Caenorhabditis elegans: one gene and its partner. The protein of the gene in region 1 purifies or fractionates together with the protein of each later gene. This does not show direct contact. Each region holds a gene or a part of one and is shown on either strand. Other genes may lie near its edges.

What was found.
Region 2: the proteins of BE10.3 (region 1) and hcp-2 fractionate together in Caenorhabditis elegans (co-fractionation; one large-scale study listed by BioGRID). This does not show direct contact.

What each region holds. Positions count from the first base shown.
Region 1 is NC_003281.10:12,805,846-12,813,077, reverse strand, and holds BE10.3 (FTH domain-containing protein), read right to left. Parts: upstream 5,053-7,232; 5' UTR 4,988-5,052; coding exon 4,925-4,987; intron 4,865-4,924; coding exon 4,766-4,864; intron 4,000-4,765; coding exon 3,812-3,999; intron 3,768-3,811; coding exon 3,649-3,767; intron 3,582-3,648; coding exon 3,416-3,581; intron 2,546-3,415; coding exon 1,567-2,545; 3' UTR 716-1,566; downstream 1-715. Other genes in the region: BE10.5 (Autism susceptibility gene 2 protein-like), read left to right, coding at 6,276-6,308, 6,375-6,549, 6,601-6,629, 6,774-6,851.
Region 2 is NC_003283.11:9,643,752-9,651,139, reverse strand, and holds hcp-2 (HoloCentric chromosome binding Protein), read right to left. Parts: upstream 5,282-7,388; 5' UTR 5,259-5,281; coding exon 5,208-5,258; intron 5,163-5,207; coding exon 4,561-5,162; intron 4,514-4,560; coding exon 4,012-4,513; intron 3,964-4,011; coding exon 3,676-3,963; intron 3,628-3,675; coding exon 2,233-3,627; intron 2,188-2,232; coding exon 1,924-2,187; intron 1,877-1,923; coding exon 1,314-1,876; intron 1,259-1,313; coding exon 1,036-1,258; 3' UTR 929-1,035; downstream 1-928. Other genes in the region: atl-1 (Serine/threonine-protein kinase ATR), read left to right, coding at 5,686-5,759, 5,807-5,908, 5,957-6,021, 6,066-6,145, 6,194-6,676, 6,722-6,949, 6,997-7,388.

The DNA.
Region 1 (7,232 bases):
CGCTACAGTAGCAATTTAAAGAATTACTGTAATTTTCGCTACGAGATATTTTGCGCGTCAAATATGTTGTGCAATACGCATTCTCAAAAATTTTGTGTTATCGTAATATGAGTCATGGCCCGGCAAACGGTACATCAGTGTAAATGCGCTCTACCGAACACAAAGCATGACCTGGTTAAGACGCGACACGAGGTTCTGACCGCTCCATTGAAAATCGCCCGCCGGACAACGGAAAGTCGTGTACTCCACACGGACAAATACATTTAGTTTTACAACTAAAATCGAGCCGCGACGCGACACGCAACGCGCCGTAAATCTACCCCAGATATGACCGAGCCAAACTGGCCTAACTCTTCCATTTCAATTTATGAGGGAAGCCAGAAATCCGTGAAGCGAGTTATGGTAAAACTTCATCTACGAAAATAAGATAATCGTTTTTTGTCATTTTTTAAAATTAATTGCCGTAAAAAAAATTGCCGTTTTTGAAAAACATGCGTAAACGTAGCCGGGGTACGGTAGGTACCGCAGGTAGGTACAGGCACAACTTCTCGGGCCGTGTTATGTTTAAAAAACTGAAGAAAATTTGATGAAAATTCCGCAAAATCACAAAACTTTGCGCAATTTGCGTCTGGGTGATATTTCCAAAAACTTGCCGGTGCGCCTAAAAATTTCAAAATTTTAATTTAAGAAAAACAAGGATTTTTCTTGAAAACGGAAAAATTAATTTATTTAAAAAATGAAGCAATTAAAAACTTAAATCAGAAACAAATTCAGAAAAAATTGAACAGGAAAAAACATGAAAAATTTGAAAAAAAAAAATTTTTTTCATTAAAGATGAGGTGTGGGGCAGAATTGCGCTAGTGGGGCAGAATTGCCAAATATTATAGTAAAAATTTTTTGCCATTTTATATGATTTTTTAAAAATTGAAAAAATCTCAGTTTTTCCACATTTTTGAAAGTCATCGATCAAAAAAATTAATATTCGAACCAGGGGTGGGCGGCAATTGCAGTTTGGCAAATTTTCGGCAAATTACCGGGTTGCCAATTTGCCGGAAATTTTTGTTTTCTGCAAATTTTCATAGAATTTATTTACTTTTAAAAATAGATGTAGGAACATTCATAGGAAGTCTACAATTTTGCCGATTAAAATTGAAATACAGTGATTTCCAAAAAAAAATGTGCACTAGCACAACTTGCCGAAATTTTTCCGGCAAATCGGCAATTTGCCGGTTTGCCAATTTGCCGGAAAAAAACGTTTGCAGCCCCTAATTGTTGGGTTTCAAAAATGCAACAGTGTTATAGCTTTGTGAAAAGTGGCAAAAGCTCGGTAAATACCACTTTTCAAAAATTTTGCAATAATGTTTGCTACCCTACCCTTATGGGGTTATTCAACAAGTAATGTCGGAAAATTAAAAAGTGTAGAAAAATTACGTCACAACTGTATTCAAGTATATAAAAACATGTATTTAAATACATTTCTGACGTCACAAATGTATTTAAATACATTTTGCTACATTACTTGAATAACCCCATCAAACAAAAAAAAACACAAAAAAACAAATAAAATTAAAAATGTTTCACCAGTAACTCAGGTGTCCAAAAATGTCTCAAAAATCCAGCTCCCTTAACATCAGGCCTCTTCCTGAAGAACTTCTCCAAAAATTCAATTTCAAAATAAATTTCAAAATCTATCGTGCAATTGGCCATTTCGTGTTCCAAACAAAACCTTCTTCCCTTCCAAATATGAACTTGAGTTCGATATCCAATTGATCTATCGTCTGGTATTGAGACTATATCTTTCAGGTGAAAGTAGTCTTTTGAATTTTTTTGAATTTGATCTATTGGCCCGGAGACAAGCCGAGCACCAGAATTCAAAATCTCCGGCACATTCTGTGTTCTGTAGTTGAAGACTGGAGCTGTTCTAGAAATAAGCTGTGAGCTCATTGGATAAAGCTTGACTGTTATTTTGGAATTTCTTATCGTCGGAGAGCTCGGAGAGCTTTCAATCATTCTCATGAACTTTCCGATGAACTTATTCAAGTTGAAAGGTGTCATGAGAATGTATGCCTTGGGAAGTTCCAGAGTCAAAAATTTAGTGGAAAATATTTTTTGAACATTTGAAATTAATCCATCAATTGGTGAAGGTTCTTCAGGTGACTTCAGGTATTGCTCCATTTCATCAGCGAGAAGTTCACTGAATTCCAGGCAAATATCAAGGTTTTCCAAAGAATAATTAGCTACAGATTCAAATTCTAAACCAATCAATTTCTGGTTCAAATCCAAGTCTCCAGAACTTAGATCTAGTTCTGGCAACTCTCCAAACTCAATTCTCAAATTCTTCACATTCCATTTCACCACAATCAGCTCTACGATTTGTCGCATAACTTGGAGTTGACATGGAATCCACGATTTCCTGGTTCCAAGTAGGATTGATGGCATCAGAGTCAGGGAATCACATGAAATTCTTGAATTTATATATTTATCAATTACTGCTAAATTTGATTGCGACGAATCGGCAAGCGACAAGACGATTCTATGTAGGAGTCTGTAAGGAAAACAAGTATAATTTATAGAATTTATAACTACTACAGTACTCCTATATAACTATTACAGTACCCCTACAGTAATCCTACAGTAGCCCAACCCAACTCGATATCCCATCAAAAGACAAAAAATCATTATTTCTCAAACTATGTAATCCTACAGTAATCTTACAGTACTTCTACAGTATCCTTATAGTATCCCTATAGTATAACTACAGTAATCCTACAGTACCTCATCCATATTCCTTTACTAACACCAACTCAATACTCCAAGTAAAGACAAAATCTATTTTTCTAAAAGTACAGTGATCCTACAGTACCCTACAGTACCCCTACAGTATCCCTAGAGTACTACTACATTATATCTTAGGTACTCCTACAGTACCCCTGTAGTATTACTACAGAGCTCCTACAGTACCCCTATGATATTTCCACAATACTAATATCACAGTATCCCTACAGTAATCCTTCAAAACCTCTACAGTCCTACTAAAGTAACTCCACAGTATTCTTATATAGTACAAATACCGTACTCCTACAGTACCCTTATATTATCCCCACAGTACCAATAGTACAGTATCCCTACAGTAACCCTACATTACCCCTACAGTAGTACTACAACAGTATTGTTACAGTATCCCTAAATTACCTCTACAGTACTACTACACTTTCGCTATAGCGCCCTTAAAGTACAAATATCGTACTCCTACAGCACCCCTTTAGTATCCCCACAATACTAATAGTACAGTATCTCTACAGTAATCCTACATTACCTCTACAGTACCCCTACAGTAATCCTACAGTACCACAACCATGTCCCTTCACTAACCCCAAACTCAATATCTCAATTTAACTGTTCAAACTGAACTTACGTGTCTGAAACTTCTAAATGCTCAAAATGATGTGGTGTTTTCAGTGTAATATCGAAAATATTCTCCTGAATCGGACCATATTTTCTACATCGACCGCCAATAATTCCACACTCATCTGATCCACTGCAGATATCATTCATTCCGAAAAATTCCTCTACGAGTTGGTCTGGAAATTTTTTTTTAAATGCATTTGGGACGGTTTGAAAAACAAAACAAAATCAGTAAAAACTAACCATCATTGCCAATCAAAGAATTGATGACCCTATCATGGATTTCCCTCTGATCACAAATTTTTGCAACATCCTCGACGCCAACTCTTCGAACTTTGACTCCAGCGATTTCTTTCAAAAATCTGAAAGATGTGCTCTGAACAATATAAAAAATATATATACTCACCGAAAATAATCCTCCAACTTTTCCATAGTCACCCTTTGTGGATTTATAAAAACTGAACAATCTGGACAGTTTTGCTTAGCATCTTGCTCCAAATCAAATCGACAATCGGATGCTCCTCTGATGAGCACGTCTCGGTGCTCTTGTCGGATTCTACGGAGCAAGGCGATGTTGATGTTTTTGTTGACTAGCTGGAAATTTATACGTTAAATTCTGTAGTGTTACTTGGACCATTTTTTTTTTGATTTAGCCCATAAATTATAAATTTTAAATAAATTTTTTTCTTTTCTTTGGGTTTCCTAAACCTTCAAAAAGCTTCAAGGTTGAAAAAAAGCTTCCAGAAGATCCTAGAAGTTTTAGACTATTTACATCCATTTTTTGAATTTCCCGCCAATATTTTGCGCCAAAAAAAATTTGAGCTTCTCGTCTGAATTTGGTATGGGAAAATTTTAATTACCCGCCAAAATTTGTTCTCAAAAAATTACAAAAAAATTCCGGCCTGATTTTTTTTGGGAAATTTGAATTTACCACTAAACTGTTTTCGCATAAAATTTGAACTTCCCGCCAAAAATTTGTCTTAAAAAATTTGATTTTCCTGCCAAATTACTTTTCTCCAAAAACTTTAATTTCCCGCCAAAAATTTGTCATAGAAAATTTGAATTTCCTGCCAAAATCTTTTCTCAGAAAATTTGAATTTCCCGCCAAAAATTGTTCTCAAAAAATTACAAAAAATTTCCGGCCTGATTTTTTTCGGGAAATTTGAATTTCCTGCCAAAATTGTTTTCAGAAAATTTGAATTCTCTGCAATAAAAGTTCTCAAAAAATTTCAACTTCCCGCCAAAAAATTATCATTAAAAAAATTGAATTTTCTGCCAAAATTGTTTTCAGAAAATTTGAATTACCTGCCAAATTATCATATTTTTCTCTCTGAGAATTTTAATTTTCTACAGAACTCACTCTTAGATCTAATTTGCCCATCGCATCTGTCGAAACATTTTCCAATATTTTTTCAAGAATTTTCACGTTCTCAAAAACTTTGGAAATTAATTCGACGTTCTGAAAATTGAAGTAAAAATATTAAATTATTTATTTTTTGTAATAAAATAAAAATCTTACATCAGTAGGCTTCATCAAAATCTCCGGAATTTGATATCCGTACACAAAACTGTTGAGCAGCATGCAGTCGCTGTCTCCACAGCAAAACGAATCAGAAGGTCTCATTAGAGAGGTGAATGCAGTTCAAATAAGAATAAAGGGAGATAGAACAGACAATGAAAACGGCTACGTCATTATATTGATCGGGCCCTTTTCAGGCTCTGGGGAGGTTACCGAGCACTATCTGGTCGAGAATAGATCGATATGTAAATGTAGCTAGGTTTGTAGCTAGGTTTTTTGTGTGACCGGGAAGATTGGTGCACCTCTTGATTGAGAAACATTTCCCAATATTGTTTTTTTAGGACATTTCATCAAATCAAAACTAAAAACATTGCCAAGGATATGCTAGATTTTCCAAAAACTGAAAAGTATCGGCAGTCCTGAAATAGGCACGTAGGTAGGCAGAGAGATGATCATAATGTAGGCCAGTAGACACGTATGTAGGCATCCAGGCGTTGTCTAGGCGAGAAGGCAAGCAGGCGTTATGTAGGCCAGTAGGCACGTAGGTAGGCATCTAGGTGTTATATAGGCAAGAAGGCAAACAGGAGTTATGTAGGCCAGTAGGTAAGCATGAGTTAAGAAGGCAAGAAGACTAGCAGGCGTTATGTAGGCGAGTAGGCAATGAGGCGCTATGTAGGCGAGAAGGCTAGCAGGCGTAATGTAGACGGAAAGACATCCAGACTTTGTACGTGCGAGTAGGCTAACAGGCATTATGTAGGCGAGAAGGCTAGCAGGCGATATGTAGGCGAGAAGGCTAACAGGCGTTATGTAGGCGAGTCGGCAAAAAACTGTTTTGTAGGAAAGAAGACAAGCAGGCGTTATGTACGCGAGTAGGCACGTAGGTAGGCATCCAGGTGTTATATAGGCGAGAAGGCAAACAGGCGTTGTGTAGGCCAGTAGGTAAGTAGGCGTTATGTACGCGAGTAAGCACGTAGGTAGGCATCCAGGTGTTATATAGGCGAGAAGGCAAACAGGCGTTGTGTAGGCCAGTAGGTAAGTAGGCGTTGTGTTGGCGAGAAGGCACGTATGTAGGCATCCAGGCGTTATCTAGGCAAGAAGGCCAGCAGGCGTTATGTAGGCGAAAAGGCAAGCAGGCGTTATGTCCAGGCAAAACCGGTTGGCGTGAAATTTAAGACATTTTTAAATTTAAAAATTAAAAAATAATTTGACGTCAATTTTTTTTTCTTAATTTATTTTTTTCTAATTCTTGATAAAAATGCCCATTTATTGAAATTCAAAAAAAAAATCAATCATTTCATAAATTTTCAATTTGTATCGCTGTGAGCAAATATCGTATTGAAGGTGTGACAATATGTGCTTCTGTAGAAGGAAAACTAAGAGTAAGGTACGTCAAGTATAGGCTAGTAGGCAGGTAGGCAGGCAGGCCTTTTTTAAACCGTTTTTCATTCAGGAAGATACAGTTGATTCGAGTAAAAAAGGAGAGAATCGTCATGACCAGCCGCTTGCTCCGCAGCCAGCTCAGCCGGGGGCCCCACTCACTCCGGATAGGCGGACCGAGAAGAAGCAGCTGAAAAGCGGCAAAAGTGCTCCAATGGATGTTCGTTTCAGTAAGAAGAAGTCGAGAAGTAAGTTGATTTTGTAATCTTTCGAAAAAAAAATTAAATTTTAATTTTCAGAAGTCCGCGAAGATGACACCGTTTCGAATGTAAGTCGCGTGGTGTCCGGGTGTCCCATATGAGTTTGATCTACAAAAAATGCGGAAAATGCGGAGAAAAATTCCCGCATTTTTGGTAGATCAAACCGTGATGGGTCAGCCAGGCTTTTTGAGTTAACCTTTTCATTTGTTCAGATTCCCGAGGAGATGCCCGATTTGGTAATTATTCGAGAACACACGGAACCCTTCTATACGGATGACCAACTCATGTAGATAGTCCTTTGGAAAATTTATTAATGATCTTGAATAAAGTGCATTACATTTCCGCCCGCAACGCTTTTTGCACGCCTTTTTTCGGTTTGGGTCGTTCAACTGAAATATTATTAACCAGCAAATATACAGGGTGGTCCATAATTATGGTGACAAGTGTCGCGCTCAGTCTCGGTTTGTTTTTAGGCGACTTAAACGTTAAAAATAAAGAGTCTTGTGTTGAAGCAATAGAAAAAATATTTTCCTTCTATTTAACATAAAAAACTTCTTAATTTGTCAAACAACGGAGTTGTAGTAGCACCGTCAAAGTAACGCATCCTTTCATGCTGACGACCTTTTGGCACGCAGCATATTTTTGATCGTGGGAGTTTTGAAACGGGTTCA
Region 2 (7,388 bases), on another chromosome or scaffold:
GCTGCGCAGCAGCCAGCTATGTCTCGCATAGCTAATGACCTCCTCCAGGGTCATATGGAGTTTTTGTGGGGAGCCCTAAGGCCGCCGCCACCGTGAGTGGAGAAGTCCAGAGTTCCTCTAGGGGGACTGGAGTTTGGAGGCAACTTAATAGGTGTTGCACATCTCCTTCTTCATCTCCACAATTCAGACATTTCTTTATTTGCCTTTCTTCCAGCCGGGCTTTGTATTTCTCGACGAGGAGTGAGTGACCGCATCTTAGCCGTGCCAATTCGCATCGAGTCTCCTTTGGCAGCGTCCTCTCGTCCCTGTAGTTCACTCTTGGTGGAGGTTTGTTGAGAATTTTGTTGTTTGGTGCATTCCTGATGAAGTCCGCTACCAGCTTCGTGTGATTCTTCTTTTGGGCCTCCGTCTTGTCGCCTGGGATGTTGTCGAGTCTGAGCTTTTCAGAGTCCGATAGCTTCAGCGGCGGGATCCTTGGCGGTTTAGAGGTTCGTTCCAGTTGGCGCTTTGCTTCCAGGTCTCTGCACGGGTGCGTGTTTGACTTGATCGCTGCCAAGTACATCTGTTGCGTCGAGAGCTTATATTCTTCTTTCAAAGGGAGAACTCTGCATTCTTGGTAGATGTGGTCCGTCGGCGTGTCCTTCGTTAGTCCAACTCATAACTCCAATCTTGTTGCCGTTGTTATTTTGTTGTGGCCGTCTTGTCGAAGGAAGGGGAGGAGCCTAGTCAACAAGGTAGATCAAAAATAAATTATGAGAAATTTGTGCGATCGTATTTTTTCGATAATATCACGGTCAATTTTTTAAATGATAATCAAACAAACTCAATATAATCAATGATCTGTATTTTTTCGGATTTAATTAATCAATTCAATGCATCAAAGAAGAAGACTATGTAATATAAAAGCACAATCATCTAAATTTAAATTCACATAAAGACATTTATTCTGACCCGGAAAGACATTCACAGTTGAGTAGTGCGCGGAAATACGTAATGGCACACAAAAAGTAAAAATAAATAAAATACGAGTTCAAATTATTGCTGGTTGCAGTTTGAGCGGTTCGCCTTCTTCGACGGCGTTTCAACTGCAGTTGTTTCTTGAAGATGATCATCTGGATGGAGTACCGTAGATGACGTGATAGCATCTGGCGAATGGGAAAACTCTTCTTGGAACGAATCCTGAGCATCTTCGAACTTGTCCTCAACAACAGGCTCTGGTGGCTCCGCATGAGAATGTTCACGACTCAGCGGCTTCACTCTGAAATATCAAAGATTTACATATCTGAGTTTTGTCGAAAATCATGGAGACTTACCCAAGTCTGGCCTGTTGAAGGAGTCCCATTACTTTTGGTGGTTTCTTGATTCCTTTCAATTGCTTTATCTCAGATTGAAGCTTCGAGATGGCATCCTTCAGCTCTCGTTCAACGTCGTCGAAATCGTCACACACCTTCTCGAGTCGTACAATCTCCTTCTGGGCTCTTCCCAGTTGCTCCTCAAGTTCCGCTATTTTGGATAGTGCTTCTTCTAGAGCCGCTGATTGCTCGTTCTTCTCTTCCTGGATCACAGTTATATCATGCTGAGCTTGCTGCTCCACTTCAACTGCGTATTTGTCCGATGCAACCAGCTTCTCATTCATTTGTTGAAGTTGTACTTGTAACTGAGACAACGATTCAGTCAGTGTACCGACATTCATGGCTTGGGTCTTCCAAACATTCGATGCTTCAAGGCGCTCCTCGAACTGCTGAGACATCGCTTCGATTCGAGCTTGGAGAGTGATAATCTCTTTTTCTTTCTGAGCAATCATTTGTTCAGCATGACCAAGCTGCTCTTTGTCTGCGGAAACAGTTTGGTTGAACTCGTTTTGAAGTGATGTCCTCTGAAAAGAAATAAATTATGTTCTGTTCGAAATTCGAAAGAATATACCTCTGTCTCAAAGTCTTGCTTCAGCTTTACCATTGCCTCATTCGCCTCAGATATCTGAATGTCTTGTTGATGTTTGACGTCTTCTACATCTTGAAGAGCCTTCTGTGCAAAGGAGATGGAAGCTTCAAGCTCTTCGATACGAGCAGCAAGTTCATTTGACTGGGAACGGGATGTTTCCGTGGAATGTTGAGCCGATTTGAGCTCGTCGAGAGTCAATTGAAGCTGCTCCTGCTGATCACGATGTTTCGATACTTGAGCGATTAGCTGAAAAACAAGTTTAATTCGACTGAAATCTTAAGGAATTTAAACCTCTTCTTCTCTTCTCTGAACTTTAGCTTCGGATACTTCTAGGCTCTTTTTCAGTTCTTCCATCCCTTCAAGAGCATCCCCAAGCTTCGCATTCAGTTCATCAACCATTTCCTTGTTCATTATCTTAGCTCCAATCAGTTCTTCCTTAACATTTTCCACTTGGGATTCTCCGACGACGAGTTTATGTTGAAGCTCTTCTAGTTGAGATGCCAACGCCACCATATCCCTCTTGTGACTAGAATTTAGTTTTTCATTCAGAGATTCGAGAACTTCAGCATTTTGTTTGAAATTTTGAAGGTCCAATTGAAGTTGTTTTATCTCTTCCACAGAGCTTTGTTGAAGATCTTGAGCAGACTTTTCCGTATCTTCAATTTTCAACTTCAGCGTATCCACCAGTCTCAGAAGACCATCTTTTTCTTGAACTGCAGCATCAACCACTGATCGAGAAACTTCTTGTGATGCCGACAACTCCAGTTGAAGGGCTTCGAAAGATTCTTTTAAAACCTCACTCTCCATCACTTTCTGACGAGCATTACTGACTTCTATCTTGAGCATCTCCAGAGAGACCTGCAATTCTTGATTCGTACTTTCTGCAGAGTGCAATTTTTCCTTCAAATCATCAATCAATGATTCCTGTTGATTCTTCAGATCTAGAATTTGTTCTTCAGAGGAGGCCAAATCAGAGCGAAGTTTTTCGTTGGTTTCCTCTGCTTGCCGAATTTTTCTCAAATAATCTTCAAGGATGTGTTTTTGGTCTGCGGCGGAATCTGACTGCACTCGAACTTCAGCTTGGAGAGAATCAATAGAGGATCTCAGCTCAATAACTTCTGCTTCCGTCGACATCAACTTGCTCTGAATCTGGTACTTTTCTTCTTGATGTCGAGCCGATTCCTGGTGCATGACTTCAGAAGTCTCGCGAAGAGATACAAGTTGCTGAATTTGTTCCTCCTTCAATTGATCACGAAGCTTCTGACAATCTTCTTGAACAATTTCTAGCTTCTTGAGCTGTGAACTTCCAGTTTTTACAGCTTCTTCTTGTGCCAACTCCAATTCTTTAATTCTTATTTCCGCCTCTTCCAATTCAACTGATGTTTCATGTTGAATTTCTTCTAGTTCCAGTTGAAGACTGCAAACTTTATCCACCGAAGCCTTATATTCTCTTCGCATTGTTTCCAACTCAGAGACTGTGTTTTCAAGAGCAAGCGAATACTCATTTTGTGTAGACTCCGAATCCATTAGAAGTTTATCGCTGGCCTCAGAATCTTGACGAAGAGACTCAATGGTAGTCAATAGTTCACTGATTCGAACATCTTTATCTTCCGCTTTACGATGTGCATCGTTTAGCTGACCTTCCATGTCCACCAATTTTGCATTTTCGACGCGAAGGCTATTGATCTGAAATAAGAAATATAGTGCAATTATTTCTAAACTCGAACTACGAACCTGTTCCAGGAGTTCACCGTTTTTCTGAACAGCTTCCCCAATTTCTGACGTGGCTTTCTCTTTCACTTCTACGAGCTCTGACTGAAGTTCAAGCATTTTTGAAGTCAAATTGCAACAGTCAATTTTGAGATCATCGAGAGTCTTCTGAAGTTCTTCCAGTTCAGTAGTATCATTCTTCGGTTGAAGAGCAGACATTTCATTCTCAAGACGATGGATTTCATCCAACATCAGTTTACGAACAATTTCATGTTCCGACTTCAGAGTTTCAATTTCAGAGTTGGAGAACACCTAAGAAAAAATATAATTAATTTTCAGGCAAGATATTAACTGCATTACCTCTTTGTTGATCGTTGTCTCCAATTCCACATACTTCATCTGTAGTGTCTCAATGTCTTCCTTAGCCTTTTGCAGTTGTTCATCAGCCTCCTCTTTCATTTCTTGCAACTCCACAAACTTTTTTTCGTAGTCCTCAATGCTGTGTTGCATGACATCAACCTTCAGTGCTTTGTCAGTAAGCTCTTCACAACGACTCTTCAACTCTTCCAACTGATGTTCAAACTGTAGTTTCTCTCCGTTCGGCTCCGTTAATTTCATCTCGAGCTCTTCAATCCGTTTCTCAAGAAGTTGTTCCAGAGTTTTTGCAGCTTCGCGCTCAGATTTCGTCTTTTTTACAGCCTCCTCCACTTGTTGCATGAGCATTTTCTCTTCAACTTCACGAGCTTCTTTAATTTCAACAAGAGTTTGTCTATGTTTCTCTCCAAGAAGTTCAATTTTCAATTGAAGATCTTTAACGACTTCATCATGCTCGATATTTTTCTCCAGCATTTCGAATTCATATCTGAAATAAACAATTTAACAATGGGAATAAATTTAAATTAATCTTACAAAGAATATTCAATTCTCGATTTTTCATGCTGAGATGTTGACTGAACTGACTCTACAGAAGTTGACTGCACAACCTCACTCTCGATTGGAATTTTCGAACGAAGTGGGGAAGGAGCAGTTGGTGTACTTTCGTCTCCAACTTGTGTCTGGCTCCGAAGTGGTGTTGACGGAGTATTCTCTAGATCTTGAATCGTTGCTTGTTGGAAGAAGTCGTTCGCCAGTGTGACGTCACCATCAGTCGCAAAACTCTCGTCAGCAATGCTACAGTCTTTGCTGATGCTGTCTTCACTGTAAACCTTCGTTTGTTCCAAATTAGGATCGACATCATGAGCTGAGGAAGCTCTTGGCGGTTCACAGACACTGTTATCATCAACGGAGGTATTTGGCGGGGCGAGTGTGGAAAAATTGGAGATTGAAGAATCATCAAGAATAGAGTCGGAGGTACTGGTAGACGAATGGCGCGAGTCTGGCTCAATGCGAGTTTCTTCAAGATTTCCATCGGCCAAATTCATAGCAGAACGCCCGAAAAACCTTTTCGATTCCTTTCCGAGACGCGATTTCGGTGTCGCAGCAGAAAACGGAGATTCAAGCTGTTGTCGCTTCTGAAATTGTTTTGCTTTTGATAAATACAAAAATATTTAATTTACCTTCCCAGTTGCAGGCTTGTTTTCATCGCCGTCGTTTGTACTTTCCTCCATATTGAATTTGATCAAATTCGTCTGAGAATTTACGATAATGAGTTGGGGAATTGCACTATTGAAAAAAACAGTCCACGTTTAACGAAATAAAACGAAGTGAATCTGGAACTTCACGAGAAAATAATAATTTTCAACAAAACAATACAAAAACTGGAGCAATCGTTTAAAATTTCGCGCCGTTTCAATAGGGCGAGTTTGTATTTGCAATGCAAATTCGAATATATTCGATCCAATCGAACTCTATATTTTGCTTAATTTTTTTTGCGGAAGGAATTTATTTTTAAACTTTGTTCGTTTCCTTATTTTTAGTAAGTATTAGTGAATTCTTCATAATATTATCACAAAAACGTTAGCAATATATTTTAAATATTGTTAAATATCCATCGAACCACTGAAATAACGTGCGCAGGCTTTCAGATATTTGGGAATGAATATCGATAAGGATGTTTCAGCTCTGCTATGTACGGCGAAAAAATATGTGACGCAGAAAGAATTCAACAGGTATAATTATTAAATCTTATCTTAACTTTTTTATTTTACATTTTCAGACAAAAAATGAAATTCTTGTTAGATGACATAACTAAATTGTTATCGAAATCTTTCGTTTCCCGAATCGAGCAGTTAGACGAAAATGAGTTCATGGAAAAGATGTGAGTTGGAAAATGTAGAAGATGATGATTATATTTATGTTTTTTCAGAATGATCCTTCAGAGTATAACATTTACATTACATTTAATAACAGAGAAGCAGGAACTTTCTTCAGGTAGAAAATACAATTTAGTATTTGTATTAATATATTCGTTCCAGAGGAAAAAATAAGATTATTTCAATCAGTGATTGCGTCGATGTGTGCCTTTGAGGATGAAGAATTGGCAAAATGTTTTGACGTTAGCAAGAATTATATTCAATAATTCAATGTTTTTTATTTATTTCAGCGAATTCTATCAGTACTGATGATCTCTGTGACGAAACAAGACCCGAGAGAAACTATTTATTTCCTGCAAGGATTACTGGAAGTTGTTAAATATTGTGACGTCGAACCTTCGTCTTCTCTGCCACAATTAATCACTCCTGAAATTGCTTCAGCTATTTCATTAGGTGCCTCAGGATTTTTTAGATATCATTTGAAGTGGAATATCATTTCAACTTTATTCGGAGAAAACGCAGGAGAATGCGTTCATTTCGATGAATTGGTTCTGTTTTGGCCTCACTGCCGATCACAGTTGGAAGACAAACTGAAAAATGATTGCTCGATGACCGAAAATTGCTTGCGTGCTGGATTGACAATCTTAAAATATAAAAAACTGCACAATTCTATTCTTGATCAGGCCCTGTTCATTGATGAACTGTTTGCCACATTTAACTCATTAACTGCGAAGAAGTCGACCAATCACATGACGTTTCCAAAGCTATTGAATGTAATTTCATTTTTATACTTCGAATGTATAATTTATCAATTTCAGGAGATACAACACTTTCTACAGGATCATGGCAAAGTTTTGATTATGCATAAAGAACTTCGACAAAAACCAGTTCAATGGCTCATAATTTATTTAGAGTTAATCGATGATGCAAATGACAAGTTTGGACTACTAGAAAACTTTTCCTTGTTGTTGTTAGATTTATCGACAAACCATGATATACATGAGTTTCCTGCGAGGCTATGTATGACAGCAAGTGAGATTTGCATGGTGAGTTAATTAGAATATTAAACAATTAAATCTCGGAATTGTTACAGCGGCGAATCAAACACTCTATTCAAAGTACACACACTGATTGCCTTGCTGATTACCTGGACATATTGGCGTCTCTGCTGAAACTTGCTCGAATTCAGAAACTAGACATTTTTCAATGTTTTGCCACAGAGATTGAGGCTCATCATTCCCTCAACAATCCGCTTTGGCCACGAATTCTTAGATCTCTACTCAGTGTACAGAATCCTCATTGCCAGCAATTCTGCAAGAAATTCGTCCCGTCTATAGACAAATTGTGGATCACATTATTGAATGGCGAGTCATCGAGAGCTACTTTAAACTCTCTTGTCATTGTGACTGCGTCTTGTCCATTTGCCAACAATAACGATGAAGGAGTGAAACAAATTATTCCATTTTTATTGATTCCTTGTTTCCA